Linked DNA regions of Daphnia pulex. The protein of the gene in region 2 purifies or fractionates together with the protein of the main gene of each other region. This does not show direct contact. Links are inferred from orthologs where the notes say so. Each region holds a gene or a part of one and is shown on either strand. Other genes may lie near its edges. The genes, in order: negative elongation factor D-like, negative elongation factor E-like and negative elongation factor A-like.

Region 1 (10,753 bases), on a different chromosome or scaffold from region 2:
GTTGTGGATGTTGATTTGGATGGTGTTGTGGGTGTTGCAGATGGCATATCCCATTAGCTTCAGGCTCATACTAAAAAAAAAAGTAATCATCATATTAATTTATACTTTAAGTAAAAGAAAGAAAGAACTCTTTACCACTGGTGAGGCATCACCATAATCAGTCAATTCATGTATGCTTGCTAAATCATCATCATGCTCTATAGGAGATCCCACTTTGAAATCTCCAATTATCTTTTCCCAGGATGATCCTTGAATCCTGGGTGCAGAAAGTTGCCCTGTGTAGATGTAGCGAATAAGTCCTTGTACCTCATCTAACCTGCATATTTCATGAAAGAGAATGAAAAAACATTTAAAAAAAAAAACATAAATTTGATCATTGAAATATTACGTGTAGCCAGCCATGATAACACAAGGATCATCAGTTAAAGGCCAATCCTTAAGAAGATGGCAAAGAACTGGGCTGGCAGCAGCCAAGACACCTTTATTTGCCCGGATCTTTCCTCCATCACAGTGAAGTGTGACATCAGCAAACAATTCCTTTTGAAGACAATCATACAACCCTCTTTCAATGCATAGGCCACGTCCCTTTGCTCGAATTAATACTCTTGTACTCTTCATTCTGCAGAATCAACCTATTGAAAAACATGATAAGATATTAATATGGGATTACACAACTATCTACAAAAAGATTCTTGATGAATTCAATAGAAAAAACTGATGCAAACATTGAAAATTCACCAACATTAAGTTTTAGAAATCAACACATGTGTAGATTACTAGCCAGAATTCCTAGAAGAAAGAAAGAAAGGACCTCTAGTATCAAAAACAATTTCTCCGAAAACTCTTTATCGCAAAATGGTCTACATATGATCTAGCACGTAGACATTTTCGTACGAATAAACTGCATCAATAACATCGTAGTCGTAGATTCATTACAATATCATCGATTATTATTTTTGAAAGTAGAAACGCCCTCCATGTAAATGGAATAACCTACCAAAACGAATTTAATGATCAAATGATGTGTTTTGGTTTTCAATAGATATGCCACGTTTCAAAATGATATAAAACACCCAGGGTACAGGGCAGTAAGTGCGTGATGGATGAATGTCAATATAACCGGTAAGATTACTACTTGATTCAACGAACGCCTTGTAAAGAACGGGACTCTGAAAAAGCCCTAAACAGCAATAATGGAAAATTTAGAAATTAACAACATCAGCGCCACCAATTCTTTCTTAAGATTATTCTTGTTGCGCCCGGAAATACAAGAGTAAACTGGACTACGAATTCATCTCCTCTTCAACATTTCTATGGTTGCTCTATTGATTTCGGTTATTGCTTCATTCGAAGAAATCATCACACAAGTTTTTACCTCAGCTTGTTGAGTCACGAACATCCGTTTGGAATTATCAAGGGCAAATTGTAAGCACTGATTGAAAAGAAAAAGAGACTCGAAAGAGTTACAGTGAAGTAATCAACTAATAGAGAGTGTAAAAGTCGTAGTCAAATAGACAAGTAGAAATGGAACCTTGCATTACATTGCCCGATACCCCCGATACACTGATCGTGCGCCGTCTACCGGAATGTCTAACAGAGCGAGATTTGAACGATCTTTTCCGATATTTTGGTGCTCAAGCTGTGAGGAAAGAAACACCAAAGGGAAGGCAAAGGAACAGCACTATTATTGTCAAGTAAGTTAGATATAAAATACTAATTCAAGTGAAAGAAATAATTTGTTTTCTTCATTCAACCTGATGATGCAAAAGGTTCAATTCACATGAGGATGCATCATTTGCACTAACTCGCTTGCATCAGCTGAAGGTGGTAGGTAAGAGGATTGTTGCAGAATATGCAGACTTCACAATCTTGCCAGACATTCCTCAGATGAACCTACCAGCACCGAAACCAGCTGGCAAGAATAATGGTGTTAAGTATCCTCCTGCCAATGAACAGATAGTGAACAATATTGCAGCAGAACTTCTACGAAATGATGATTTTTATCACAAAGTTTTACAACTCATGAAGAGTATTAACTTACCTCCACCTTTCCTGCAAGTGCCAAAAGATCCTGTTGTTATAGTTGAACCATCTGATATTGAAGAAGTTGAAATGGAAGAGTTGTACAAAGAAGATACAGAAGAATCAGAATTGGAAACTGATTCTTCTATACCTGGAGAAAAAGAAGTCATTCCTGATGTAGCTGTCAGACATAAGAAGCTTAAACCATTGAAAAGGCCTAACAAGCTGAAAATGCTTATCAACCCATCAACAGCAGTGATTCCTGCTAAAGTGAAACCTGCATTGCCAACTGTTCAAACTATTTCAGAAATATTTGAACAGAAAGAAATAAGTTCAGCAAAGAAACTTGAGTTTAAGATATCTTCAGAAGTTCTTCATGCCAAAAGTGATCAGTCAACCGAAGCGCAACAAGGAACAACAGAAAGTTTCGGAACATTTGCTCCGCTTCCTCCGAGCCAAAATGAACAGCAAAGTGAAGCTCTAGAAAATCAGGAAGAAGATTACGAATTTATCTCCAGAAGAAAACTTCAGATAAACAAACTTCAAGATGAGGGTTAGAAATTTATCATGTTAATAAACAATGAACATTTTAAAAAAAGCTTTGCACCTTACAGAGATCAAACTTCTTCCTGTCTTCAAGAATTATTCGGCTGGTGCTCCTAGTTCACGACTTTACGTGAAGAACTTGGCTAAAACCGTAAAAGAATCCGACCTGAAGCACATCTATGGCCGTTATGTCTTGTGGACGTCAGAAGAAGAACGAAACATGTAAGAATAAAAACAAAACATAAAACAGATGTTTGACACGAGTAGCTAAGTAGTTAATCTTTTAAATCTAGGTTCGACATTCGCCTAATGACCGAAGGTAGGATGAAGGGTCAGGCATTCATCACCCTTCCAAATGTAGATCGAGCAAAGGAAGCCCTCAACGATACCAACTGGGTGATGCTTCAAGGCAAACCTCTGGTTGTTCACTTTGCACGCTCAGCACAGGCCAACACTACGGGCAGTACCACTTGATTATCAGCAATTTCAGTCGATTTATTTTTATGAGCACAGAAAGGATGAAAATAAAACAAATTGGAAGTGATATCCGCGTCGAGCGAAACTGTTTGTTTTTATGAGTCGCAACATCCAACAATTGGTAACGCTTTATTAGGAAACCACGACGTAGTTGGCCTTACAGTACACTAGAAAAATGGAATGCCTCATTAAGAATACTTGTAAGGATTCAAATCCCGTCGAAAATGTTATAAATACCTATGAAATCAGAGACGAGGTCACCGTCACCATCGCCACGCATTGTACCAGTAATTTCTTCATTTTCAACCATCGGAAGGAATAGTTGGACGAACTCGGATGTGTAGGGTGGGGCAATCGATTCAAGTACCTTGGGAATCATATTCAAATTATTACAGGAACTTCAAAGGTACGGTGTTTGGCATTTACCTCTGTGACGAAGTACCGAATCAGTGAAATATCCGTGTCACCTCTTTGCCAGCACTGTTTGATGTACTTGACAATAGGGACGACGTAACCACGCGTTAACAAATTGACCATACGATCAAGTAACATTTTACGCATTTCCAGTTGAACGAGAATCTCCAACTCATCCTGTCTCGACTCGAAAAGTCGTACCAGCAAGTCGAGGATATTTGAGTGGAGCAAAGGATTCACGGCGGCCACTTCATCGAGAAGCGCCAAATGAACAGGGGTGTGTTCGGTGCTCAACTTAAAGTAGGAGGGCTCTAACACAGTCGCTTCTACCCAGCGAAATACGCCCATAGAGACCACAGGGAAACGGATGTACTGATACAGAGTTCCAAGCTCAGCTATTAATTCAGTTGATCCTTTTGCTGTCGTGCAAACTTGATGAGCCTTCTCGAGTGCCTAATAAATAAACATTATTTAGCTTTTCCGATTGGCATTTTTAACAACAGTATACCTGCATGGTGGCCTTTAATTCATCTCGGTTCGTGTTTTTCCTTTGATTCTTTTTGTACACTTCAGCCACGCTGGCAGCGTAAGCAAGGAGATAGTTGTATTTTGATTTGTGCTCAGGATTGAGCTTCACTCCAGGCTTAAACAGTGAATCGAGGAGCAGCTCTACAAAAATTCGTGAATTAAAAAATCAAAATCTTCTAGCCTTTACAATCGCACGAAACAAGAATAATATCATACCCATAAACTGAGGTAAACGGATCAACTCCACCGGTGGGGGATCGGTTGCCGAATACAGTTTATACAAATTCGTGATATCGGCTGGATTCAAAGCGTTGCGAGAGAGCATTGAGGATAAAGCTTGACTGGCACGCGGATGCGCCGCTGACCCATTAAGACCCATAATAATGGCAGTGACATTGTGACCCCTGTCCGATGATAAAGCATTTGATGACATTATTGTTCCATCTAAAAAAAATGGCCTAGTGGAATTTAAATACTAACGATTGAATCGCGTGACGGGTAATTTCTTGTGATAGTCTTTTGATTGAAGGGCCTCCTTTAGGTTCTTGAGACAAAACATTTAACAGTACTTCACTGTACACGAAAGTATGTTGCCCATGACAAATCATCCGCTGTCAAAATTTGACAGAGCATTAATAACAACTTCGATATTGCAACATTCGAATAATCATGTCTACTTACAGCGCATTCTTGTATGTGTTTTTGCCTGTCGTCATCATTACTTTCTGAGTACTGGCCAACCGAAGTCTTCAAAATTCTTGAAAACACTTCGATTTGCTGAGCTGCAGTTGATATACTCGTAATTTCACCTTGAAATCCTGCATCCGAAATCAACTACGAATTTACAAAAGTAATTCGTCAATTACGAAAATTATACATATTATAAAATGGATATCAATACCTTAATGGTGAAATTCAACATAAGGCAATCAGGATATTCCTCAGCCAGTTTATAAACCAGTGATCTCCAGGTGGGATGTTCAATCATTTCAGTAAGCCAAGCTGGTGTCTGAATAAATAATTGGATGAATGAAAATACTGAAGGAAAATCTTAAGTTTGAAATATGTGTTATCTTACTTCTCCCTCCTCAGTGAAAATAGTATCAGCTTTCTTTGGATCAAACATTTTGATGATCATTTCTTTCAAGTGATTTTCTACCATTGACTGTACATCATTTATAGTTGCCCCAGCTAAGATGAGCCATTCTGCCATTAGATTAGCCATCTGTGCTGAGGCAGAGTAGTTCTGGGAGAGTAGTTCAATGACATGGGCTGGGCTTCCACCAACTGTAAAGTACCTGTAGGAAAAAAACATCAATCTAGCTTCTTTCGTCAATAGTGGAAATGACAATAGTAACCTTTTCAGTTGATTGAAAATGCCGGGTTCCATGATGTAGTCCTGTGTTTTGAACGTTTGAAGGCATTCTTCTAAAACTTCTGCAGGATTTTCCATGTACTGGTCCTCATTGTCAGACTACACGAAAATACAAATATTCATTAACCAAACCACTTAAAGTAAAGTATTACTGATGTAAAGAAAACAACTGAAACATGTAAAACTTACGTCTCCCATCTCGGAATCCCCTCTCATTCCCGAACTTTCTCCCCATTCTTGATTATCGTAGCCGTCATCCATTTCCAAGTCAAATTTTACGGAATCAGTAACTGTTTCATTCGATCAAACCACACGAGTTAAATATCTAATAAACCTGATGTGAAACGACGGGTTCAAATTATAACAACAAGCGTCACGAGCGCGTCAGGCGGCGTCTGCTTAAAGATTCGTCTGCAATCAGAATTATTATTTTTCTCCCATCCATTTGCACAAGTCCAGTCTAACAAAAAACTTCAAAAGAACATATTAAACTAGGTAAATAATAACAATCCTAATGTATTTTCATTTCTGTTCTAATTATTGATATTTTTATTGCAGGAAAATGGAGTTTTTGTTAAGACAATTTCAAAACAGAAACTTGCTTTCCATTTGCAAAAGCTTTCAACCAGCAATTAATCATGCCACTTCTTTATCTTTAGTCAATGAAACTTTTGGCAAAGCTTTGCTCCACACAACAAATGTTTCAATGGCACAGCAGCAAAAAGGGCCCCAAAAATGGCCAATCTATAATAAGAAAATGTTTCCTCCACAGTTACCTGGAGAGGAAAGAAGACCAGCAGTAAGTTATTGAGCATTTCCTTTTTTCAGCAAAAACCAATAAGTTGAACTATTTAAATCTTGCAGTATGTTTGCCACATGAGGACCAACATCAAGTATAGCCCATTTAAGATGTGGTATGTTGCATCAATGATAAGAGGGATGTCCATTGATGAAGCTCTCAAACAACTTAGCTTCGTGAATAAGCTAGGAGCTGTCCATGTAAAAGAAGCCTTGTTGGAGGCCCAGAAGCTTGCTGTGGAGAAACACAATGTTGAGTTTAAAAGTAATTTGTGGGTAGCTGAATCTTTTGCTACCAAGGGACTTGTTTACAAGGGTGTTCGCAGGCATGCCAAAGGAAGAGTTGGAGTAATACATTACTTCCACACTCATTACTTTGTCCGCTTAGAAGAAGGAACACCTCCTCAACATTTCTACTTGGAGACTGTACCTAAAACAACCAAAACATTGTTATCTGAATGGGTTGATGAAATGAGGCAGAGGAGAATCCCTCTCTCATTATAGTTCTCCCAAGTGCTGGTCTCTTATAGTTGAATGAATAAAAACATGTTTAATTCCATTTTCTGGTTAAGTTTCTATCAAAATTTTAACTTTTAGCGTTTCAAGTGCGGGGCACGATTTTCTAGATGAAAAAATCCGTTTGAACCATTTTATGTGAAAAATTATGCTTCATATTTCTTTTATAAAATACTCCTTTTTTCTATTAAACAATTTCAATAATTCCATTAAAAAATTATTTTTGCAAAAATTTTGCTAAATCGTACACTGCCGCGCTCGTCATTATAAAAGAAATGTGTGAAATCGTGACAGTAATGGATGCACCGGAAGTTGCGTTCTACTTTCGTCGTCATTAGTTCAGGCTGCCGGTGAAAACTGAAAATTCCGTCATATATTTTGTTCAACTTTGGCGTGTATTGATTCGTCCGTTCTGTGCAAGTTCTTTAAAAAAAAAACACAACTCGGTTACAAAAGTAATAGTGTAGTGCTGTAGAGTCGCGCCGCCAGCCGTGAAAATCTTTCTTCTTGTTTAACACCACGCTGTGAGAAACGACAGAGGAGCAACTGTTAAAACTGACATCAGGTAAAATAAAAATAAAAAAGCGAGACTATACTATGCCGCGAAATCTATCCGCAAACTCATTACTTTAAGCCAAATATCACGTAAGAAACTCATCGTATCAAGTCTCTGCATATCGTCGTCACACATTTTCAAAAGCATAAGATAATTACGATGATGATGCAATCGATTTTGTGGGAGCCAGTCAGCAGTTGTACAGGACGTGACGACAAAGTTCGGGGTTAGTAGTACTGTTTTGTTGTTGTGTTACCCTTTTCTATGACCCCCGTGAGGCGCTCATATATAATTCAGGCCGTCGAAAGGGTGGGAATCTAAGTCTAACAAAACAAATAGGTGGGGTGTGTGTGTGTGTATATACGTTAGCATTAGTCTTCTTTCTCGAATCCCGTTGATTGCCATCTGGCGAGTCGTGACAGCGTTCGTGTTGTCAAACTGGGCATAGAATGTAAAGGGGAGAATCGTGCTTGGGGCAATTCAATCACAATAAAGTATACCATCCGGATGGATGGATAGAAATGTTAGTTACGTTAATATTTCCAAGTCCATTTTAAAAACCCAAAAGAAATGAATAGATCTACCGAGGATATGCTAAGCGTCCCCGCCCAACTCGATTTCCCAGTTGATTCGTGAAGTTTGAGCTATTTTATCGCGATTGCAACATTTGATTCAATTATGGCTGTATAATCTCGATAATTTTATGAGGGGATCAACTTTTGTGTGTACACGGGCTTGTCACGGGAAGGAGAACAAGGAAGTCGGGAGAGAAATGGGACAAGTTCTGGCGCGCACAGCCTATAATAATATATCTACAACCCGTCTGTGTGCTAGTACGTACAAGACCGCACTGTCCCGTGTGCCACGGTTACCAAAGCAACCCGAAGCTATTTACTCAAGTCGTGGCAAAAAGGTTTTAGCCTTGCCTTGGCTGCCTCTATTCCGCTCGAATGGCCGAACCGTGCAGTAGCAGCAGCAGTGACCTGATCGCCTCAGACGAAGGACAGTTGGCTCAATTGCTGGATCAGGATCAACAACATCCAGCCGTCGACGACACCAACGACGACACTCTTCTAGCAAACATGGAGGCCTGCTTCAAAGCATTCGATAAAGACAGGTGAGTTTGTCTAAGTTGCTTCTACCTTGACACCTTTCCATGCGCGTCCAGTCCTTTCAAATATCGACCGATCGGTGCCAACAACAAGCCTCCCAATTTTTGCCTAAACCTAAAAAAGAAAAAAACAAGATTCGATTAGTTAATTGTCTTGCATTAGTCGGTCCGATGAAACGAGCACTCAAAGTGAGCACTCAAACGTACACGAAATGTCACTCTGCTAATATTTGTGATGACACATTTGATAAGCAAAGTTTCATTGACGTTTGCTATTTTTAGCCACTTGATAGTCGCGGGAAGGATCTAAAGGAGAGAAGAAGAAGAAAAAGTGCATTGGGTTTGTTGAAATAGGTGCTGATGGTGAGACTTTGACCTTTGAGCCGTTGTGTGAGCACAGGCATGAAAGAGAGCAAACACCACGTTGGCAAGTTTGTATAGTAGAGGAGGGACCTGTGTGTACGGTATCCTAGCGCGCGCTTAAATTAGCACACTCTGCAGTTTCGTGTCACAAGTCCACTAGACATCCAACCTCCCCTCGTTACGTATTCTATGCAGCCCCCCCCCCCATGTTTACGGAGGTTCCAGAATAGTAGGCGTCATAATAATAAAGTGACGCACAACTAGCAAACCGTGCCTTCAAACAAATCTGCAAACTTCATGTCATTGAGACAGCGCACGATGCGGGACATTGCGGCAGTTTTGTCTGACAAAAAATTCGACATATTGAAAGTATTTGCTAGACAATAAAAACAAAATTCAATGTAGTAAAGTTTTTCGCGAATAGAAAAAAAGTAGGAAGAAAATTTGCATAAAGTAATATTTGAATAAGGCCGGTCTTGTCTGACTTTTGGCAAAAAAGAAAAACAACTGGATATCCGGATAGTTTTATTCTTTTTGTTCTTGGTATAGCAATTTCTAATCACGCGATCCTTCCATATGTATACACATAATACAACGGCGCTTCCTCATCGGCAACTCGGTAGTTGTCGAGCCGTTTGTGTGTAGACCTTGGCGCTCCTCCAACCCACTAGACTTACGTCCTCTTTGAATTTTCTTTTATTTACTACACCAGTGACTTAGTTGATGGTCACGAAACGATGACGTACGCAACTTTATCGATCCCACAGTTCACACAACAATGCCTCCCCCCCCCCTCACTGCCTTGCGTTTTGATATCTAAGGTACAAATATAGAGTAGATATACTTATCTACGTACGCACCGTCACAATTTACAAGCTGTGAATTGGCCCTTTCCACGGGGTGGTCGTTTTCACTGGATCCGGTCATTTGCGAAGGTCAATTCCCCCCCGCTCGGCCAATGACGTCACCAACACCTTTCAAGAAGAAAAATCTTTAAAAACATAAAATTATTTCATTTGTTGTTGTGATGATTATTACAGTGACGGGTTAATGACGTTGTCCGACTTTGCCGCCCTGTGTCGTACTCTCTTCCGCAATGAGCAGGGCAAAGCTTACGCCATCGAGGAAAGTCGGCTCCAGGAAATGTTTGACGTCTTTGATCGAAACCAAGTAATTCAATAAAAATTCAAAAAGTAGCTGTTTCAAAAATCTAAATTCAAAATTTACCTGTTCCAGGACGGTTATGTGGATTTCCAAGAGTTTGCCTTCTGCTGGAAGCATTGGATCAAGCCCGTAAGTCCTTTTTTGTTTTCTTTGTGTCCGTCCGTTTCCAACAATAACAAATGAAAAATGGTGAAAGTATTATTGGATAGGGAAAAGTTGCTGAAAACATGTGGTAGTAGTTATAGAGCTAGTCGTACGATAAGTCAAACTTTATTACCAAAACGCAAACACTTAATCGATCATAGATAACGGGCCTTGAAAGAGAGAGGGAGTGTTCTAGACAACAGACGGCGTAGAATAAGTAAAGTTGATCGATGAAACGGGCTGAGCTTTTTGTTGTGCAGCGGCACGAGGCACCGGTCGTAAAGAAAAAAAAACGACCTCGTGTATATTATAGATATTTCGAGAATAGGAACAGTAAGCGCCTGGGAAAAAAAAGGAAAGGAAATACTATACAGAAATGGGAGAGAAAATGTGTATATATCGGACGGAAAGAAACGCAACTGTGGGGCTAGAGAACTACCATCGCGTGTCTTTTCAATTGACCCGGCATGTTTATGCGATGTTGGGAAACACGCGTACTATTGCCGGCCAGCCATGAGGGGCCGAACATATAGTACACTATATTATAAATAAATACAAAAGCTACTCAATCACAAGTTCTTGGTGTATATATATAAAAGAAAAAGGGGGAAAAAACAAGCTTTGAAATGGGAAAAAAAAGTTTGTTTTTTTTTCTTTGCCTCTCTGCTGCTGCGGCACACAACACTTCTGCAATATTGTGACACACCGACACGCAATTCAATCACTCATGCCTCCCACC
Region 2 (10,107 bases):
AACTAACATGTTGGCCGCTTCCGTTTCCTCCAAAGACAGGCCGTCCCTTCCGCCACTGCTGCCGGCAATCAAAGCTCCTCCACCGATCCTGAGGGATCGCTGCAATCCAGATTCGGCCGTCGGCGTGCTGTTGCTCGTGCTGTAGCTGCCCGAGGGAGACGGCTCAACAGAGTCCCGCGAGAGCGTTTCCTCCCAGTCCATCTCCTGGCCGTCCTTGGTGAACGCCTTGTTGCCACCTGATGGGAACGTTAGGCCGCCGAGACTGGACGAGGAAGCACCTGCGCCACCAGAGGAGCGCAGGCTTTTGCCTTTGATGCTCAGGTGCCTCGAGCAGTAGCCCCTCCGCTGCGACTCCTTGTTGCAGCCCTCCTTGGAGCAGAGGCGGCGCCATTGTTTGCCGTTGAACTTTTTGCGGATGCCGCTAGGACCGGCCACAACGTCGCCCTTTTTATACTTTTGCGGCGTTCCAGTGAGAGAGCGGGCGCCCGGGAAAGGACTGGGCGTCGTCGGCTGGGAACGAGGAGTCAAACTACCGCCCGGAGACGGATCGAGTATGCTGCAACTGCTCCCGCGACTCTGCATGCTACTCCGCTTGCTTCCGCTGCTTCCGGAGAATTTGCCATCAATGCCGCCTCCCACGCCATCTGCCAACGCTCCTGGCGTCAACGAAAGCGAGCGTCCAGCCACCGTGTATCCCGATTCTGAATGGAAGGTGATGTCCTCACGTTTCAAATCTTCGTCACTCTCACCGCCGTAGTCGTACTCGTGAAAGGCGGGCCGGCCAGCGGCCTGGCTAGGCAGAAGCTCTTCACTGCCGCTGGAATGGGCGCTCTGAGTCGTCGTCACCACCAAGGCATCAGTGTTGGGATGGATAGCCTCCAGATGGACTTCCACCGGCGGACCGGTGGACGGTGGACGAGACGAGTGATAACTGTCGGCGTGCTGCTGTTGCTGGTGGTGGTGATGATAATCGACTCGGTTGACGACAACTGCTGGATCTGGCTGATAAGTTTCTGTTGCTGGCGGCGGTATGGGTACCGGCGTGGATGAAGGTTCAGGTCCGTTTTCCAACTCTTCCCACCATGGGGGTTGTAGGAGACGGAGAGACGGTCGGGTGATCCAACGCTCGACGTCCGGATTTTGTCCGATGGTCCGAACGAGGTACTGTATAGGTTTACTGGATATTTGGCAGATGACGCCTTCGACAAAGACGGACAACTGCGGATGATCGTCGACACGGAGACACACCCTGGCGCCCAGTGTCAACTGGGAAGGTGAAGGACTGGCATCGCTGACGACGTCAAATTTGCCGGCCCGAGTGACATCTGAATAGAGTGTCGGCTGCTCGTGTCCGTCCAGCTGGACGAGAACGTCACTGTGTCCGTGACCACTGCGGATGACTCCCGTCAAGTAGCGACTGCCAGATTTAGCCAGGACACGATGGCAGCGCCATTCGTTGAGATCGACGTGAGCCGCTGGAGGAGTAGCGACTCGAGGAAGAAGAACGGGAGGACTGCTGCTGCTGGCCGTCGTCAAAGCTGCTGGGATGGTGGCTACTACTACAGACGATGAGATCACCGAGCTCGATCCCGCTGCTACTGCTGCTGGCACTTGGGAAGAATGGTTGTAATGGCGAGGCGACGTCCGATCAGCCGATTGTTCGTATTCGGCCGGATCGAATTTTCGCTTTTTGGGCACGCGACGGGCTACGACCGCTGACTCGTGTTGGTTGGACATGGCGACGGCGGTTCTGCACTCGTCGATTATTGCACTGCAAGTCCCAGCCGGGTACACTGTCTGACTGGGGGGTGGTGGTGGTGGCACTAGAAGACGGGCGACAACGTCAGCCGACGAGCCGCCCACTGATTGACCCTTATGGCTAATAAGACCCTTGCCGGCGGCCGAATGCTCCTGCTTCCGTGATCTGGTCTCCACTCTCCTCTGTTGCATAGTTTAGCCATTCACGTAGCCAGCAAGCTCTCACCTCCTAAAAAATAAGAAACAGACAAGTTTTTTTAGAGTGGTTAATATATACATTGACATCACATTTATATTGAGCGTTTTGGGTGGGGAGAGAGAGAGAAATCCAACGCCATGGAAAAACATTTGAGATAAGAGAAAAAAAAAGGGGCGATAAGGGGCTCGGGTGTAACGTGGCCGATCAAAGACCGAGAAATAGAAAAAAAAATGTTGTTGCCATGCGACCACACAATATCCATATCCAAAGCACGCATCATCTGTATTCGTCGGGTTACGCACGTCGTCGTCGTCGACACTGTGTGTCTTGACAAAGGTCGGCCACAAGGCCAAAGCTCAACTTCCCACAGGGCTTTTCGACCCTGCGCCTTTCGGGCTTTGTAGTAAATGAGAAGAGGCTGTTGCACTGTGATGAATGCGCGCACCGTAGTAGTAGTAGTAGGGGAGAAAAGAGGTTAAACACAGCCCCCTCACTAAAAATAGTTAAAAAATGTGTGTTTCAGGAGCGACGTGTGGCATTCCGGAGGAAATGAAAAAAACAAAAAAGACTAACGTTCTCGCGTGTGGATTCTTTATATACATAAAACATCACGACCTAGGAATCCATCAATGGATTTTGTTTTTAGTTCGGCCATCTTGGAGAGTATAAAAAGGGAAAAATTTCTTCCGCGCCCTGGAGGAGGCTTCCACGGGTCCTTGGACTCGCTTCTCTAGCTCTTTCTCTCTACATGGTTCTTCGAGTGTACCGGTTGTCAAGGTCGTTTGCTTACGCTACACGCACACACACAGACTGAGAGAGGAGGGGAAATGGGCATCGTGAGCCAATGGGATAGCTGCCAGATACAAACAATTTATATGAAAAAGAAAAAAAAGGTGACGGGACCGGACAAAGAGAGAAGCTTGGGCTGCTGCGGTTGTGATGAAAGGCCGTGAGTTGGCAATTCATCCCGTTAGCCTTCCAAAAACATATCATAAAGGCGAATGAAAAACCTCAATTTCTATCCGTTCGACCGACTGTGACATTTTCCAACTGAAAGTTAGGGGGGGGGGGATAACAATAGTGGGCGGTCCAGTTATGTATCTCTTTTGATGTGAGAGTACTACAACAGAGTTTAAAGCAAATAATCAAGTTGTGGGCCCCACAACCGGATGCGCCAAAATGTACACCTACACACACACACACACCGATGTAGGCGTCACAACCTGTGTATGTGTTTGCTTAAGCTTTCTCCCGGCTGATAACCCCATTCCTATTGCTCACGACATTTCAAGAAAAACAAATTCAAATCTGATTGGATCGTCATATGTATAAAATATAAGATGGCCACCACGGCGAAATGGTAAAGAGATTGTCGTGTTTGAACACACACACACACACACACACAAACACACCAAGTTTAGACAAGTCGAAGAAAGAGCAGCTCAATCGAGTCAAGGCCGTCCATGGCGCCACCACCGCACACAAAACGCCAACAAAGCACACCCAATTCTCTCTCGGCCAACGAGAAAAAAATGGAGAATTTTCGTTGGGCTTTTTCGTCGTGTTAAACCAAGAAAATGGCAGCAGTTGTGTAAGCCTTACCCTCCATTCCATGGTAGCATGTGGATATTATTATTATGTGGCCAAGTAAAACGGTCGATGGCAAAACTATCGGCGAAAGAGGGAGCCACAAACACTTGCACTGCACGACGACACGGCCAGATGAAGACTGAGTGTATACCGGTTCACCAGGGCCCTATCTCTGCTGCAGGCGGAATGGCGGATGGGGAGGGTCCTAGAAATTCAGAGTCGGCGCGCGCCTACAATTCTACTACACTCGACATCTTCCAAAATAAAAACTTTTTTTTTTTCACAGAATGACCGAACTACACGCCAGTCGACTGATTTTTCAGACGCCAGCAGCAGCCCATTTCTTATTAATATGACAGGGCAGAAATTGTGTTCTTCTGATCAACAACTATGACCTCATCACACACACACACTGGCACTGTGGCACATCATTTTTTGGTCGTCTTTCTCAGTTGAATTGTTTTCCCACCATGACCGAAAATAATAGGGGAAAAAAGAACCTGTACAGGGGTTGGTGGGGAAAAAGCATTTTCCCCTTTTTACTTCTTTTCAAAAGAGGCTGGGGGTCCCCATTGTTGTGTCCAACCCAAACCAGAAGAGGGAGAAAGAACCTTACTATAATACTACTACTACTACACCGCCCACTCGATGGTTCTCCTGGGCAAGTGTCTCTACTATATTTTTACTACTATTTTGCCCTTTTTTGTGTGTCTGTGTCTACTTCCAGGGGGGAAAATGCGAGTCGAAATGGAACAAAAGAATCGTCGTCTCTCCCTAACTCGAAAGGAGAGAACCTTGAAAGTTTCTCGAATAACTCGAGGGTTGAAAAAACTCTCTAGCTAGCCGGCACTTTGGAAAATAAAAGACAGATTGCGCAACTATTGACAGTTTTACTCACCTAGCCTGTAGTGTATCGTGTTGTACTATCATGAGGCCGGCAAACGGACGGGCTCTACTACACACCTGCACAATCCATAAAAAGAATCAAGTAGGAGACAAAGGTGTGAAAAAATGTTTGTAACCTTGACACATCACCACTGTAAATTATACCTAGGCTCGTATCGACGAATGATGAGAACAGCAGCAACTGCAGATGGATCGATTTTTCATTCAAGCTACACACACACACACACACAGTCTCGTTACACCAGTTTCTCGTACTCGAATCTGTCTATTCTCTCCCCCTTGGTATACTCACGTCTGACGGCTACGGCGGCCAAGGATCGTGAATGGCTGGAATTTCCGTTTACGAGGCTCAGACACGTGACCTAAACACTTGTGATTGGATTGGTCCTTTTGAGGGAAAAAAAAATGTTCTGTTACCAGGTCCCTTGCTATTGTTATTTACGTAAGAATTCCACAGGCGACATCTAACGTCGAAATCTACAACTCGTCCTTGGGCGGCGTAAACAACAACGAAATTTAACGTTAAATTTGCAAAACGAACGAACAAAATCAAAGTCAACGCTTAATAAAATGGTTTATCTTCATTTCCCCTCCAATTTGACAGAAGAGGAATTAATGCTGCAAACTAAATATCAAAAACTTAAAAAGAAGGTGGGTTGCATGCAAATAGTATATACCTTTTACTATTTTACTAATGAAGTATACTGGAAATAGAAAAAAGCTTTGCAAGCACTGAAAGCACCCAAACCAGAACCAGAAAAAACACCTGCACTCAAAAGACCTGCAGAAGCAAGAGACGCCAGAGAAGTGGCTAAAAAGCTCTTGAAGTCCGGAGCCATTTCAGCCATTCCAAAACCTAGCGAGAAAACAGAAACTACTGGATTCAAAAGATCAAGAGGCTTAGAAAGAAAACTTTCCTCTTCTGATCGAGCACCAAGTGGATTCCAACCGTTTTCTTCAAGTCAAGGAAGTATGGTTTCTAATGAAGAACATGTCACACATGAAGCTAGAACCAAAAGCAAGGTAACAACAACACTATCCAATCCAAATAACTGTGTTCAAGCATTCTCCTTTCTGCTTAGGTTCCCAATCTCTATGAAAATTTCATTTCTTCAAGAGAATCAGATGCTGAACCAGCTTCAATTAGTCCAACAAACCCCAAAGAAACACCTACCTCTCCTGCCATTTCTCCAGTGAAGCACCAGAAACCTACAGTGGGGCACACAGTTTATGTAATCATTTCTTGGCTGTAGATTTTTGATGAAATGTGTTGATTAATCACATTGTTTGCCATTTTTAGGTGTTTGGCTACAGCATTACAGAAGAAATCCTCAAAAAAGCTTTCCAGTCTTTTGGAAATGTTGTAAACATTTCAATGGAAATTGAGAAAAAGTAATATCTTCTATTAAAGCAAACAGTAGCAAAATATTAAATACCTTTTTGTTCTCAGTTGCGGGTTCGTTACGTTCGACAAAACAACTTCAGCAGACAGAGCCATCAGTGAAGTATGTATAGAGAATTCCCTTAAAAAATCTACTCCTCACTTTTGCCTATTTTACTAAAATAGACAAACAAAATCCTGTGGGTTTTAAATGCTTTAGTAGTTGACCAAATCGTAATGGGAATTTTTATACCAAGTTTCTTGCCCAATATACCTAGTGGGAACTTTTGGCTCGTAGTAAATTTATTTCGAAATTTAAAAAAGGCGTTCCAGGTTGTTAAGCGCACCAGATTCTATCGTCACTAAAATTTCCCCTATGACGAATGTAATAATGATATACACTGCCATTGTTTTTCTTTTGTGACTGAATACTAGATGAATGGTAGCATGGTATCCGGTATTCAACTAAAAGTGTCACTCGCAAGGCGTCAACCTGTCATCGAACCTATAAACGATGCAACATCATCCGCTACGTGGTCCACAATAGGTTAGCCTTATTTTATTGAGCTTTCTAGTTTTGATGAAATGTCATTTATTTTTGTTTTCTCCATTTCAGCGGCTCGCAATTCTCAGAAAGGATCCTATAAAGATAAGCGCGATTTAGTGACATATGAAGAGGAATTGTTTTAAAAAGTAAATCATCACAGTACAGGCGGTTCTATGTAATTGTAATTTTCTCGTGGTGGATGTACAGTGATATTTCATTTTACATAAATTTCCCATCAGAAATACATGGAAAAAAACAAAAACAAGTTTTATTTTTAGACGGGCACCAAACGAGAGAATATTTAGCTTCCCGGATCAAATCTCTTTTTTTTAATTCCCCCCAACATTTATATACGATAAATTGCCTCTTTCCATCCCCTTCGCCCCCATTCCAGAAAAGTAATTTTACCTTGAAACGATCATAACGACGTAATAATAACATTAGACTCTTCGGGGCATTGCAAACGGAATTCTGTTTGTTGTTGAGTAATCACATAGACAGCGGAATGCGGTGTGCGAAGGTGAACGATTTTCCCGACGTTCAAAGTGCATAAAGTATTGATTTTGAAAGAATATTATGGAAAGAGGGGACAAGAATCTAGCTCCATTTGTCAAGCGATACGTATGGAAGGGGAAAAATATATCTCAAAATCGACAGACGCAGACCTATTAGCTTATAACAGATAAATGCTTTGCGTAAATGTCTGCAATCATGTCTCAATATGCGTTCTGATTAGAGACGTTCATGAATATCGTGCAACAGAAAAAAAATCAACGGAAAAAACAAAATAAAGTCGCAAATTGCAGGCCCTGCCTTTCAGCAACTAAAATAGACGATCGTTAAAAACTTAACAGAAAGGTGGGAAATGTAAAGACGGGGAATGTCCTGTCATATCACTGGAAAAAATGTTAAAAAAACAAAAAAACAATGATGATGATAAGAAAACAAAATTAGGTAACACACACGGCTCACTCAAACTGGTTGCTTGCGACTAGCACGGTTTCAGAGACGACATTTGACAACGCAGGCACGCACGCACTCGCATACACACACACAGACACACACACACACATAAACAATTGACCAAAATATACACCGCGTTGAACGCATTCAATTTCGGCTAACGATCGGAATGGATTGCAAGAGCAAGCGCGTCCAGGCTATCGTTCAAATGGATAGGTTTTGTCATTCAATCACACAAATAGAGACCACATACTCACGCGAGAGGAATAGGATGGGATTAGTTTTTACATGCTGATACAGGCAATCAGCTCATTACATATACGATCGTAACGGACATAGTCTCCCGATATACGACGGATTTTCAACCCTTTTAAACCTTCTGGGCCAGCAGGTGGGCTGACTTCGACAGCGATGTAAATGTCTTCACCGGGTCGTTCGAGTAGAAGCGCGGCATCGTTCTCCGTTTGACATTTCACCAATCCTGACGCCTTGGTGTGAATCGAGCGCTCAATCAAGGCAAAGATTTCGGCAACCGTCAACTGCGAGCAGTCGGAGGACAGCTGCACTTCGATCGATCCGCTGGAAGATTTGTGCAATTCCGGATAGGCAGACATTGAACTGATATCACCAGCCAATAATGATGACGAGAGCACGTCGTTCTGAAGATTCTGCAAACCCACCTGACGACAGGTGCCGTTCTTTCCGCTCAGATGAGCATAGACGCTCCATGACATGTCAGTCACTTCGCCCTGCTCATCCGTAATGGAGATCTGAGGGTGAGGCGGACCGGTAAATATCGGCTTTCTTTCCACCTCTTGTTGGCACGTCCATTCGTTATCGGTTCGATTTTTAAAATTTCTAACACTCAAATCCAAAGCCTCTTCCGCTGGACTGATATCGCCTTCGATCGCATCCGATTCCATGTCCTCCACTTCAATCATCCGATTCACCGGTGTTCCTTGAGTTATGGACCCGCCTGCAAACGTTGAAATCGGCATTAACGTTGGGGTTTGATTAGCGAAGACGTCCAGATTATTTGGCACTGTCGGAAGATTAAATGGAGTTCCTTGAATGATGGAACCTCCTTGGACTCGTGGCATCGCAACCGAGTTCTGAGAATTTTCTATGTTGAAGAATCCTAGTGTAGGGGTCGCTGACCCAAGAGATCCTTGAGACACAATTGGCGTTCCTTGAACGATTGAACCCATCGGCCGGCCCGTACCTTGCACTATGGACCCGCCACTGTTGTTTCCACAACAACCAGACAGGACCCCGCCGACGGGCGGAGACTGGCTGTACGACTGTAATAAGGAGGACTGCGGTGGTGGCGGTTGCTGCTGCTGTTGTTGAAGTTGCAACTGCTGGAGATGCTGAGAAAGATTACCACTTTCACAACACATGTGATTCAGGTAGTGCGGTGAACCGATGGCACAGAAATCCGAAGATACTGGTGATGTCGACGTGGGCGGTGGCGTTGGAGTCATTCGCGGAGACATTTGCTGTTGCTGCAACTGTTGCCGTTGTTGTACGTGAATAGCATGTCGCATCTGCATATCGTTAGTATTGCTGCTTACCATCTGACGCTGAAAAATGAAATGAAACTTGTATAGGATACGTGGAACGGACATTTAGGATTTTAATATAAATACTTGTAAAGCTTGGTATTCTTGATGTACAGCTTTAAGCTGAGACGCAGAGGAAACATTGCTGGATGCGGTATTCGGATCTTCACCATCCCTTTCTGACATTCGATACTGGCCAATCGAGGCACATCCGTCACTTGCTCTTCGTGGATGCCGATCCGATGGCAACGTCAACACATTTGTATCCGCTCTGGCCGAACAGTCACGACCTGAGTAAAATGAATGTGGGGATTAAAAACTGGAGACGAACAACAACAATTAGTTTAACGATGAATGTTAGAAAAACATTGAGGCGATTTCTAAGTGAATAACAGACAAGGGTTAAAACAACATAAATACATATGAATCAGGCCAGTGTGTACTGTTTCATTCATGATGCAAAACTGAAAACTAATTTTAGCCTTAGTCTCCAGGATAATACTCGATTTAGAGAACAATACCTAACATGGGACCAGCCCGTTCCACTACAGTTGCCAGTCCTGTACGTCGACTCTTTGGGGGACGAGCTTGAGTATTTGGAGGCACACCTACACAGTTATTCATGCTCATGCTTGTAGAAGGAGTGGGGTTGCCTGGAGTGAGACTAGGCGGCGTGTACGGGAGGTGGTTCATTCGAGCTTCAACTTCATTTATTAGCTCAGGGATCACTAAGAGTATTTTAGAATCGAAATTCAAAGGAAAAGGGGCAAAAACAAAAGTACACGTCCAGCATAGCGAGAAGAAACGAAACGGAAATGAAGAAGGGAAAGGGTAGAGGTAAAAAATGCAAATAAATTAGAATAATGAACAAAATAATAAAATAACAAATTTTAAATAAGAAAAATGCTTCTACAAAATTGTAATTACAGAAATAAATAATAAAAATAAATTTGTAACAGGCAGTTTCAAGACTAAAGCCAGTTAAATGATAATTTAAATAACAAGCAATCTTTAAATAACACAAAAAATAAAATAATCTGCTCGAAATTTGAATGGGCCACCTACCTAATGGTCGATGCATGGGCATCAAACCCTGTTTACGCATTCTGGGTTGGATATTTTGAGTCTGTTCCTGATTAGCCATTGGTAAGGTATGCCTCTTTCCTCTGTGTATATACCTTTAAACGTCAATTTAAAAATT
Region 3 (10,801 bases), on a different chromosome or scaffold from region 2:
TGTTGAGAAATGACGTCAAAGGCAAATTGGTTTGCTCAGTGCGCGCTGTTTCGTCCTTCCTTCTTTCTCGCGTACGTGCTCTTTCACCTCCCACCTAACGCATTTGAATAAAACATGTTTTTCATCCTCCACATTCGGTGGGTTATTTTTCTATATTTTTTGTTTGGTTGTTTTCCCAGGGTGCCTGTTGGGCATTATTACCATTTATTTCCGATTTCTTTCTGTCTGGCTATATCGTTTGTGAAATAACGAGCAACACACAGTCGGGGATTAATAAACGGGGCAGAGTATCCATAGTATCCCATATCCAGCGCAGCACTTTTTCTTTTTGATTTTGTTTTCTTCGTCTGTTGTGCTGGCTCCCTTCCCCCAATCAAAGTCATCGTTATCGCCTCGTTCCAGCCTGCTGCCCACACGGATATTATTGGGCCCGGCCTACATATATACTGGACACCGCTTTTGTGATACAGACTGGGGGTTTGGCTTTTCTTTTAGCAATCAAAAAGCAGCAAGGTAACAGAAAATATATAAATAAGGGAGACAGTTAGGGAGAGATATTCATCCCGCGTACGCGTCCTTTTGTATAGCTACAAAAGAATATACATCGATGCACTGATTGAACAACGTCTATGTGTATATATACACACAATTGTCTGATACGATCGTGCACGGTACACTCAACACGCCAGACAAAAAACACACAGTCCCACTAACAAGGCCGTGCATTCACCATACGTCCATGGCGACAGACGATACATTTTAATGATTACGCACTTTTGGTCGTCCAATTATTTATTGCAAATATCAAACCTCCATTTTTCCTTTGATTTTCCGCAGAAGTGGAGGAACAAAGTTGAACCGGAACTGACTGCATAGGGCGGTAGCTATGTATATTTTTAAAATATTGAATTGGGAACATCCGGAGAAAGTATACATACATATTGAATCTCTTCGTGTGTGCGCACGAAAAGAATCTTCCAACATTTTGCCAGCTTCACCTCGTCTTCGTTTCCTCTGCTGCCGTGTTTACAACTAACGCAATAAAAGTGTTTCGGGGTAAGGACCTGAATGTGTATGTACGACCCAACCGGAGAAAGTATATATAAATAGAGCTGGACAAAATTGGAGACGGCCCATCACTTTCGTGTGTCAATAGAGAGAGAGCCTGCTGCCGCTGGCCTATATGTATGTACCTGTGAGTATATTATATTGGGGCGAGTCGTGAATTGTATGACAGGAAAAACGCGGATGAAATGTGTTGGGTGCAGCAGTTGCTCGGATCAAAGAAGAAGAAAAAAAACGGAAACTTGTTTGCTGCTGCGACTGGGATCGAGATCGAGTCAGATGAAACAGACGGGCAATATACTATACACGCTTTTGACGGAATAAATAAGCGGTAATAGAAGTCTGCAACCACCAAAGTCACTATGAACATCTTATTACTCTCTTATTTTTCAAAAAAATAAGAAACTGGCCCACTTTCACTCTATAGATGAAGACACTTTTGGGCCATAAATTCGTCTTGACCTTCTAATAAATCACGACATTCGCTCTGCCGCCTAAGGTTCTAGGTCTATATCTCAACTTGTATTATATACAGCGATACATAACTTGTCCTATATTAACCTCGCAACTTATGACGAGCGCGCGACGGTGATGATATTACAGTATAATACAGTCTATCATATAGCAAAACTAGTCCTGGCGTTGGTCCATTCAAGTTTGAATTCTCACGGTATTGTAACGCCGTAAGCACTGTTGAGGGCTTACACGCGGCAAATGCCGCGCCAAGTTGGTCCGACGGACATAGCCGCGCGTATAGATTAGACATTTAAATTAATAGAGTTCAAATTCTACAGCCCGACCCTCTTGGAATCTAGTCCAACCTAATGTACAGTACGTATAAAGCCTATTATATAAGACAAGCCAACCGAAAGTGCACGAGGAACAGGGAAATCATCGCAAATGAATCCTGAATGACGTTTATAATATTTTGGCTTTTAATAAGCAATTATATACAACATAGGGACGAAAACTTAAGTAGATATAATCTAATATTAATGATTCGTCTTCTTCGTTTTTCTCGAACTTTGGAGAAGAAGAAGAAAAAGAAAAACAACAGTCATGTAATATCGTTGAAACTGCTGGTTTGTATAACAAAGGTAACCACAGCAGCGGGTATATATGGCAGCACGCTGTTAGCGGGCAGAGAGAGAGCAGCATCAGCTTTGGATATTGATGCATCACTTGGCCCTGCAACGTAAATAATTGCATAGATACAAAGAAAAGTATCATCTGGTTTTCCTTTGAATCGGATCAGCAGTCCGCCCAGCTCTCTCTCTCTTTCTCTCTATGTGCATCATCCACACTTTTTTTCTTACCCCGCAGCCTAGTGCGCAGGACGCCGACAATATTATATTCCGAAATATATGTGCATACACGACACACATCTCCCGTGCTGGGCGTGCTATATATATATTATATATATATGTATGCAACGAATCAACAAGCACATTTACATGCTCGGAAGCCTTTATGTCAATACGAAAAAAGGTAAAGAATAAGACGAGCAGTGCGTCTGTGTGATGTTTGGTGGGCGAAAAGAGCGGAAAAGAGATACCGTAGGAGAGATGGTGGTGGGATCAGTTCGGGACTTGATAAATACACACGTCAGAGAAAGTTAGTATAGATTTATGTTAAATATCTAAATACTTCAGTTCTTATACAACGGAAATATTTTTTGATTTATTTATTATTTCATTCTCATTCAGCGAATAATAATCATTTCTTTGGGATTATTATGCAGGAATTTCGTATAGTTCACCGCGCGTAATTGAAATTATTTTCCCTTGGACATTATTTCGTATAGATATACCGGCGTCGCATACTCGTTAATGCACTTTCGGACTTTGGCGCTGGCTGTGCTCGTTGATGACAGTGGAGAATTGGCGAAAAACTTGTCGCCAACTCGCCTTCCCCCTCTCTTGCTGGCCAGGTCACACAGGCCCTTGCTGCATGCTGCTGGCCTATTGACATGTTTCTATAAATACGCTTACATGTGGTATATATATATATGCTATACAAAAGCCAAGGAATGAGCGATTGAATCCAATTGAACGAGAGAATGAATGGGGTGATGTGGCTCTCTCGGAGGAATCGTCTCCTTTTCAATCGACTTTCTCCGACTATACTCCCACGCATTTCACGCAATGAACGACGGACGAAAGCTGCTGGCGACCCTCTCATTCACAATAATACCCCGTCGATTAGAGCTGATATCGACAGAAAAGCTATCGCGGCTAGATATATTACGTCGTCGGTCAGAACCCACTCGAAAACGACGAGCGTGTACAGCCAACCGTGGCTATACAGCAACCGACAACAGCGAACAACAGTGAATCCGTTTGTGTTTCGTTTGCAGCTTGCTATATCCCGTCTGTTATTTTATATCCAGTCAATATCTATATCCTTTTGACTCAGCAGCGAGTCGCCTCTTCCTCATCCAGGAGTTGCACTAGCAATAAGTTGTTGGACGATGGATTTAGGTTGGCCGTGCACACCCACCGACATAATCTTATATCCGTGACGTCAAATCGGCCTCAGTGCCATATTGCCTTTGGATGGATGCGTTGAAAAGTGGTAGACGCATCGCTATTATAGATGCTATACGTAACATCCTCATTGAGACTTGGGCTATCATCGGATACAATGTGTGTACATACTTTATACATCTGAGACGGATGTAATAAGGATGAACAAGCTTTTTCATCGCCCAAACCCCCGGAAATATTTTGCCTCTACACTTTCAAGGCTCTAGCTCGACGCACAGCTCTATAAAACCAATTTCATTACATTTCGCCTGCTGAGAATGATGATGCTGTTGCTGTGTGTTACAACAGGAAGCGATAGATGTACGGCGAGCGTCAAATAACCAATCATTCGTTGCGATTGTTGGAAACGCGCTGCCAATTTCCCTAACAGATCAAATCGCTGCTGGCGGATTAATAACCCCCTTGCGGACTTAAGAATTTCAGATTTAGGAGCACTACTTCTCGCGACTAGGACAAGACGACGTCACAGGAGGAAGCTCATTTTACTATATTTAAACGATGGCCCTTTTATTTTTTTGAGGCCAGATTTTTGTGCTTTTCAAATGTCAAAATGTTGTCTCCCCCAAAACGGTTATTACATAATAGATTCTCGACTGCTGAGCCAGCAGAGTCGTTCCATTTTGGGTCTTTTTTTAAATTTAATCTGATGCTGGGCTCCTTTTGTTCAGCACTTAATTAACCACACGGACATCAGAGCGACTGAATTTCCTATTAAGAGATTCTATCGTAGCCGGAACTGTCCTAACCCAACCAGACGATATAAGGAAGAACGTCGGAAATAGATGACTTTGTTTTTCAACGTTTTTTTTGTTTTTTAATAAGCTTTTTATTTATAGAAAACTGATGTGACGTTGAAGGGGAGATGGGTGTGTAACATACATTTAAGATGAGAGCACATATTGGAGTTGAGTATTGAAATAAGTCACGGAAGGTGGTTTGGATTTGGGTGCATTACACGCTCGCACTTCATTGCGCTAATAATACTGCTGGGCCCTAATTGGACCAACGATCCTTATTAGGGGTTAATCGTGCGAATTGACCGACACAACTTCGGGCTTTCGGAGCACCGAGACCCAACTAGTAGTGAGACACCGGGAGATTTTATGGGTTACGAACTTAATGATAGGTACTACATAGTACTTAATTGAATCAAGGCGCCTGAAATCAGTTGGCGAGTTTGGAAGTGAGACATTGTATTGATTAACTGTATACACTTCATCCGTGTTGCGTTTGCGTTACATGTTGTTTGATACTTGCACTGAGTCTTAAACGGAATCAGCGTCAAGTTTGAAATTTAAAAGAAAACAAAATATTTCTATTCTAAAATGCAGGTTAGTTCTAAAGAGAAACTCGATCGCGCGCAACGAAAGATCAGATTATAACAATGGAATTTTTAATTTGTTTTCCGACTAATTCGTTATACAATTACGGTCGACATGGTAGAGCGTTGAGTACTTTTAGGACCATTCGATCACTCGACACACAATAGTTTCGACAAGAAACTATATTTACAGCTTTAGAAATGGCACATCATTTACTTAGGTCGATTAAGCGACCTCCTGACGAGTGATTCACGTCCGTTATTTGGTTGTTCGATAACGAATCATTGTAGTCTAGTCAGCCGAGTTGAACAGCAGCAACGTTTCCCAACAACGCGGTTTTGGTAAAATAAAAAAAAAGAAAAAGTCCATTCATCGCAACGCAAACAAACGCTTGTACTCAACGACAGATAATTCCGCTTGGGGAAAACCATTTTGTATTTTCTTTTTTCTTTTCTACGACCGCCATTCACAAGTCACAGCACAGCATCCCATCGAGAAACGTGACTAATAACAATATATGGCATCGTTGTGATATTTTCATCTTTGATTTTCCCGCGACCGTTTCCATCGGTCGTTCAAAATACGTTTTTTTTTTTTTAAGTTTGGCCTAACAAGCAATCGTATCAGTGGCAACTAGCCCAAATTTGCGCAACGAAAAAGATAGAGGCAGGCATGCAGCGCCCCTAGCGGCCGTTAGTGGTAAAGTAAGTTTCGGTCTCATCCGAAACTACGCCACAGTGACGCTGTCTGCATCGACATTTTCTGGCTCACAGTGAAAAAGTTGTAAACAAGTAGTGGGAAATTGGTTTGTGGGCACTGTTCCGTTCGCTGTAAGAAACCTTGTGTTTGAGAAAAGCAAAGGAAGAAAAAAGAAAAACAGGGCGGAAAATGGCGTCCAACGTGAGAGACTCAGATACGTCACTTTGGCTTCATAATAAACTTGGTATCAGCACTGATTCCTGGGCAGGCGGCTCAATTTGTTCCCAACTCAATCCCGAAGTTTTGAAGAACATTCAAGAATGCTTTGTCGAGCTGCAAACACAAGTCAAACTCAAATTTCTACTATCATTCTTCCAGTTCTCAAGGAGGAACTTAGAAGAGGTCAGTGGCCTTCATATAGTTTGATTTCGTCTTTTTCTCCATCTTGTTTGTCATTTCACTTCGTAGATTCTGAAAAGTAATCGTTTTTTATTACTTGTATAGTGGAAGACAGAGTTGGAAGAAATTTTGGAAGTGGCTGTTGTTGATGGTGATCCGTGGGTAGCCATGGTTGCTGAAATCCTCAAAACATACCCAGCCACCGGAGCCCTCAACATGGAAATTGGCTCTGCCACCGATGAATACACAAGAAAAATCTTCAACGATCTTGCAAATGATTTGAGAAAACTTGGTAACTTGGCAAAAATCTAAATTCATTTCATCGTGGCTTTTTCGTAATGGTTTTGAACATAACTTACAGTGAAAAAGCATGGAGAAACTGGAATGCTTCCTTTAGAATGCCCCTATTTGAATAAAACAGCACTGTTCACTGTTGTCGGCCAGCAGGTAACGCTCATCTCGTTTCGCGCCAAAATGGAACCTGTTACATTATATGCGATTGACTCTGCTCTTTCAGTCCCACCCCATCAAACATTTCACATTAAAGAGGAAACCCAAGTCAGCGGCGCTGCGTGCCGAGCTTTTGCAGAAATCCACCGACGCCCAAAATAACTTGAAAAAGAATCCTGCTCCTACGGTACCACTGCGCTCACGAGGAATTCCAAGGAAGATGACGGACACGACACCATTGAAAGGCATTCCTAGCCGGCACATTGGAGGATTCGCTTCGCCACTTTCGCGCGTTGGGACGACGCCCACAAGTGTCGGTGCTCTAGGATCTTCTCCGTCCGCTGGTCCCAACCGTCCGTCTCCTCGCACGTTAGCTGGCAGAAAAGATGGCGGTATCAAATTGCTGGACATCAATGAGCAGCCGATCGGATTTGCTCAGGCGAAGAAAAGAAAACGACAACAAGGTAATACGTATCCAGCTATATTTATCGAATTGCTTGTTAACGCTGTTGCCTCTTTTCCCCCCGTAAAGAACTGGAAGCTGCCCAAAAAGCAGCCACCGAAACGACGGCTACCTCTACAAATCCGGCACAACCGCTTTCGGGCGAAGAATCAGAGACGGGCAGTGTCCCCGAAACTCCCGAAAAACCTACTCCAACGCCCGACTATGCAGCTGGCCTTCTTCCGAGCAACCCGCCTCCAACCCCGGCCGCCCCTGTCACTCCACTTGCCTCCACTTCTATCCCACCTCTTACGCCGTTGAAAGAGCCGCCTAGAATGGTAGCCGTCCGTCCGCCTACTACTCCTTCAATCAGTTCTCTACCTCCAGCTTCTCCTGCCCCACCTGCCCAAGTGGTACGCCTTGTCACAGCTCAAACGGCGGCTGCGACACCTGCTGTTGCTACTACGGTGCCCACCGTTTATCGGTTGGTTCAACCAGCTGCTGCTGCTGGGCAGCCTGTCGCAGTGGCGGCAGCAACTCCCAATCAACCGGCCGCTCCACCCAAAAAGAGTGTGGCACTCATGCTCACTGTAAGTTTTAATTGTCGTTGCAGTCATGGTGAATGATTCTTTGGTAATTCAACATTTGTTTTCTATAGCGCGAGCAAATGCAAGAAGCTCAAGAAATGTTCAAGAACGCCAACAAAGTCACACGACCGGAGAAAGCCCTTATCCTCGGATTCATGGCAGGCTCTCGGGGTAACTTTCATTGGAATGATGCTGTTTGAAAACAAAAGAAATGTTCATTCTTTACTTACTGATATTTCTAGAAAATCCTTGTCCACATCTGGGAAACATCGTCACCATCAAGTTGAGCGAGGATGAGGAGGTTGTGACGGCTACCGACGGTGTCACCACCACCAGGGTCGTCGAGACGCATTTCCAGATGAACTATGCAGCCGGCGAATGGAAACGCATCAAGAAAATGAGGAAAACGGAAGAAACTCCGGCGTCGGTCGCCACCGTCATGGCCACAGCGACGGGCTGAATAGGAAACGAATCTGGTTGCAGTAGAGAGAGAGAGAGAGGGACTTGAAAATTCTGTGTAAATAGCAGCAGGATGGATGTTACAAGACAGAGGCGAGGAGAAATGAGTGCGGATGAGAAAGTAAGCCCTTCCCTCTATCCCCTACCCACCGCGTTGTTCCGACTGTGGGGCACGGGATTTATTTTGTTTTGATATATTTCGGTGCCAAAGTCGATTCAACTTGTCCCTTCTTTCCAGTTCTGTTTTGCACATTACTATTCCTTTCCCTGTTTTTCTTCATTCCTATCGATTCGACTTGACTTTCAGTCCTTATCCTCTCCGTGTCGCCCGCATCTCACAAACCAAGCTGAAGCCTTAGAGGCGGCATACTGTTCAGTATCTCAGCATTTGAAAATTGTTCATTTTTTTTCTTTCTTTCAAAGTACAGTTTTCTTGTAGTTCTCATACACACAGATCCATGCATAACATGTTCATATCATTCAAAGCGAATAAAAAAAGCGATACTCTTTGTTAAGAAAAAAAAGAAGTATGTGTATTGAAATCGTTAACAGTCCCGGTCGCTATTGGTTTACGCGACTTCCAGTTTTTGTTTTAAAATAATTTTGCGTTTGTTTAAACAAAAAAAGAAAAGGAGAATTTAGTGTATATATTTGACAGTCACTGTCGAGTATTGGGTATCGGGAGCGTGTTCAAAAGGCTTGGTCCCATCGCTAGCGATGTGTTGATTCACTTGGCACTCGAACAATACAGTATAGTCCAGTAGGTCGTCGCAAATTTGCTAAATCGAAAAGGGAAAATGAGTTGGTATTTTGGGACGAAACTTTGCCTCAAATGGATAAGTCGAGTTACTCTTGTTAGTTCGTTGGTGTTGGTTGTGAAAACACCGACAAAGCCTTTCTGTATCGCCAGCTCCAGGGTCTCTTGCTCCGTTTTCTGGATGAGTTGGATGTTCTCCAATGGACTGGAGGTTTCGGCCGTGGCCATCATAAAGCTGTGGATCAATAAGTTGGTCCGCTTTTCAAAGTGCTTGTCTCTGACAGGAGCCTCAATCGCCTCGAGAAATTCAAAGACGTACGCCAAGCGCCGGACTTTCGGTTCAACGACAGGCTCGTCAAAGAGATCGAAATTCAGGGCCACGGCCACTACTTGTCCGCTCCCGTTCCGGATAACAAAGCTGTGCGCACCCATAGAACAATCAATCAATTGGTGATGGTGTCTTTTTAAAATGGAACTTCAACCTCAAGTCTGCTGCCACTAATGGCTCCCAGAGTTCCTCCATGAAAACTTCGTAATCCTGACGACTGACGCCTGTCAAAAGTTCCAATTCGGCTTTCTCCGAGAAACTTGTACTGATAATCCTGATTAATATCGTCAAGCATTACGACATGTCGTTATTTATAAACGAAATAAAAAATAACTAAATAAAATAAAATACCTGATGACGTCTTCCTTGACTGACGGGCTCAGCATTTCGACAGTGTGATTGGATAACTGATGATCCGATGTCTTTGATCCGCAGGCCGCCTTCGATGGCAACAGTTGAGAAACCAAATCTTCCAGTCTGGAGGCGGCAAGGAATTCGGTCAAATCTGTCATGAGGTAATAGTATATGAAACGTGTGACGAAAAAGAAATCAAGCCTGTTGGTATAACGTAACGAGGTAACTAAGAGTTGTTACCTATGTGAAAGCCTTGATCCTTCAGCTTGGTTACCACATTGACAGCGTTGAGTGAATTGCCCCCGATTTCGAAAAAATTGTCCGAAAGTTGAATGGCTTTGCCCGATGACGAGCCAACGATTGAATAGACAGTTTTCAATAGGGCTCTCTCTTCGCGGCTGAACTCGTTTCCGTCCCACATAGTTAAACAACTTGTCAAATCTTTTTTTCAAAAAATACGTCAGAGAGTTTATTAGATACAGCAGTTACTAAATAGTCGATAATAAGGATGTTCAAATCTCGAGTGAACCATTTGACCTACCGTTTTGTTGTTGACGCTGATCGACGTAGAATTGCATCAGTTTCTGGCGGTCGACTTTGCCGTTGACTAACAAAGGAAGCTCGTCAATCAGTACCAGCTAAACAATCAAAAGACATTTTAATGAAATAAATACGTAACAATCAGCAAATGTAAAAGGAACTTGAATTTTACCTTGGGCATCATGTAAGAGAGAAGCTTGTCTTTCATCCGATCTTTGATGACGTCAACAGTGATTTCCTTTTCCATTGGAATGACGAAAGCTACAATTTCCTTTTAAACCCATAGAGAAAGAAGAAGAATAACGCCTCCGCTTTTTGACACTCAATTACATCACATCACGTATATACCCGGTACTTACTTGTTCAGGCTCTCCCGCTTTGTAACTCAGGACGACGCAGGTCGACACGAGCTTATTCCATTCGATGGCGGCGTTGATTTCACTTAGATCCACGCGATGACCTCGGATCTTCACCTGCGAATCAGCGCGGCCAAAGTAATAAAGCTGATCGTTGAGAATTCGGCCGAAATCGCCCGTTCGGAACATGACTTCATAACCTATATACGTATACCAATCAATCAAATAGATATTTAAGCCGAAAAAGCTTCATACACAAAAAAATAAGAATAAAAATATTTAACGGCCGTGGGCTGTAAATAGGCTCACCTGGAGTGTCATCAACGTGATTTTTCAAGAATCGTTCCATTTCCCGGTTTCGGACGTAACCCGAACACAAGTGACTTCCGGCCACATAAATCTCTCCTATCTCTCCATCTTTGATCAAATCTCTCGAAGCGTCCAGCAAGTATATGGCGCAATTATCTAATGGCTTTCCTGTGATGTGTTATGCAATC

The links.
Region 1: the proteins of negative elongation factor E-like (region 2) and negative elongation factor D-like purify together in Homo sapiens (affinity purification with mass spectrometry; 9 studies listed by BioGRID and IntAct, counting the BioPlex papers as one, with this or other methods). This does not show direct contact. The link is inferred for Daphnia pulex from reciprocal best matches to the Homo sapiens genes NELFE and NELFCD.
Region 3: the proteins of negative elongation factor E-like (region 2) and negative elongation factor A-like purify together in Homo sapiens (affinity purification with mass spectrometry; 9 studies listed by BioGRID and IntAct, counting the BioPlex papers as one, with this or other methods). This does not show direct contact. The link is inferred for Daphnia pulex from reciprocal best matches to the Homo sapiens genes NELFE and NELFA.

The regions. Positions count from the first base shown.
Region 1 is NC_060027.1:2,125,694-2,136,446, reverse strand, and holds negative elongation factor D-like, read right to left. Parts: upstream 5,693-10,753; 5' UTR 5,624-5,692; coding exon 5,552-5,623; intron 5,462-5,551; coding exon 5,346-5,461; intron 5,286-5,345; coding exon 5,066-5,285; intron 4,997-5,065; coding exon 4,889-4,996; intron 4,822-4,888; coding exon 4,669-4,821; intron 4,599-4,668; coding exon 4,468-4,598; intron 4,392-4,467; coding exon 4,204-4,391; intron 4,129-4,203; coding exon 3,968-4,128; intron 3,913-3,967; coding exon 3,472-3,912; intron 3,413-3,471; coding exon 3,283-3,412; intron 3,213-3,282; coding exon 3,178-3,212; 3' UTR 3,043-3,177; downstream 1-3,042. Other genes in the region: zinc finger protein 62 homolog, read right to left, coding at 1-70, 136-316, 389-618; RNA-binding region-containing protein 3-like, read left to right, coding at 1,525-1,694, 1,770-2,575, 2,637-2,790, 2,862-3,042; 39S ribosomal protein L22, mitochondrial-like, read left to right, coding at 5,925-6,161, 6,227-6,664; uncharacterized protein LOC124207899, read left to right, coding at 8,183-8,349, 9,747-9,876, 9,943-9,999. UniProt on the Homo sapiens protein: Essential component of the NELF complex, a complex that negatively regulates the elongation of transcription by RNA polymerase II.
Region 2 is NC_060021.1:9,950,212-9,960,318, reverse strand, and holds negative elongation factor E-like, read left to right. Parts: upstream 1-4,932; 5' UTR 4,933-5,023; coding exon 5,024-5,104; intron 5,105-5,167; coding exon 5,168-5,476; intron 5,477-5,535; coding exon 5,536-5,685; intron 5,686-5,753; coding exon 5,754-5,845; intron 5,846-5,903; coding exon 5,904-5,958; intron 5,959-6,269; coding exon 6,270-6,381; intron 6,382-6,450; coding exon 6,451-6,524; 3' UTR 6,525-6,577; downstream 6,578-10,107. Other genes in the region: protein capicua homolog, read right to left, coding at 1-1,950; serine/threonine-protein kinase SIK3-like, read right to left, coding at 7,629-8,927, 8,994-9,196, 9,428-9,634, 9,972-10,084. UniProt on the Homo sapiens protein: Essential component of the NELF complex, a complex that negatively regulates the elongation of transcription by RNA polymerase II.
Region 3 is NC_060020.1:1,898,242-1,909,042, reverse strand, and holds negative elongation factor A-like, read left to right. Parts: upstream 1-5,664; 5' UTR 5,665-5,821; coding exon 5,822-6,034; intron 6,035-6,136; coding exon 6,137-6,323; intron 6,324-6,392; coding exon 6,393-6,478; intron 6,479-6,548; coding exon 6,549-6,945; intron 6,946-7,013; coding exon 7,014-7,513; intron 7,514-7,581; coding exon 7,582-7,681; intron 7,682-7,752; coding exon 7,753-7,970; 3' UTR 7,971-8,435; downstream 8,436-10,801. Other genes in the region: tyrocidine synthase 3-like, read right to left, coding at 8,608-8,748, 8,820-9,144, 9,209-9,328, 9,406-9,559, 9,649-9,849, 9,950-10,046, 10,121-10,219, 10,308-10,504 and 1 more. UniProt on the Homo sapiens protein: Essential component of the NELF complex, a complex that negatively regulates the elongation of transcription by RNA polymerase II.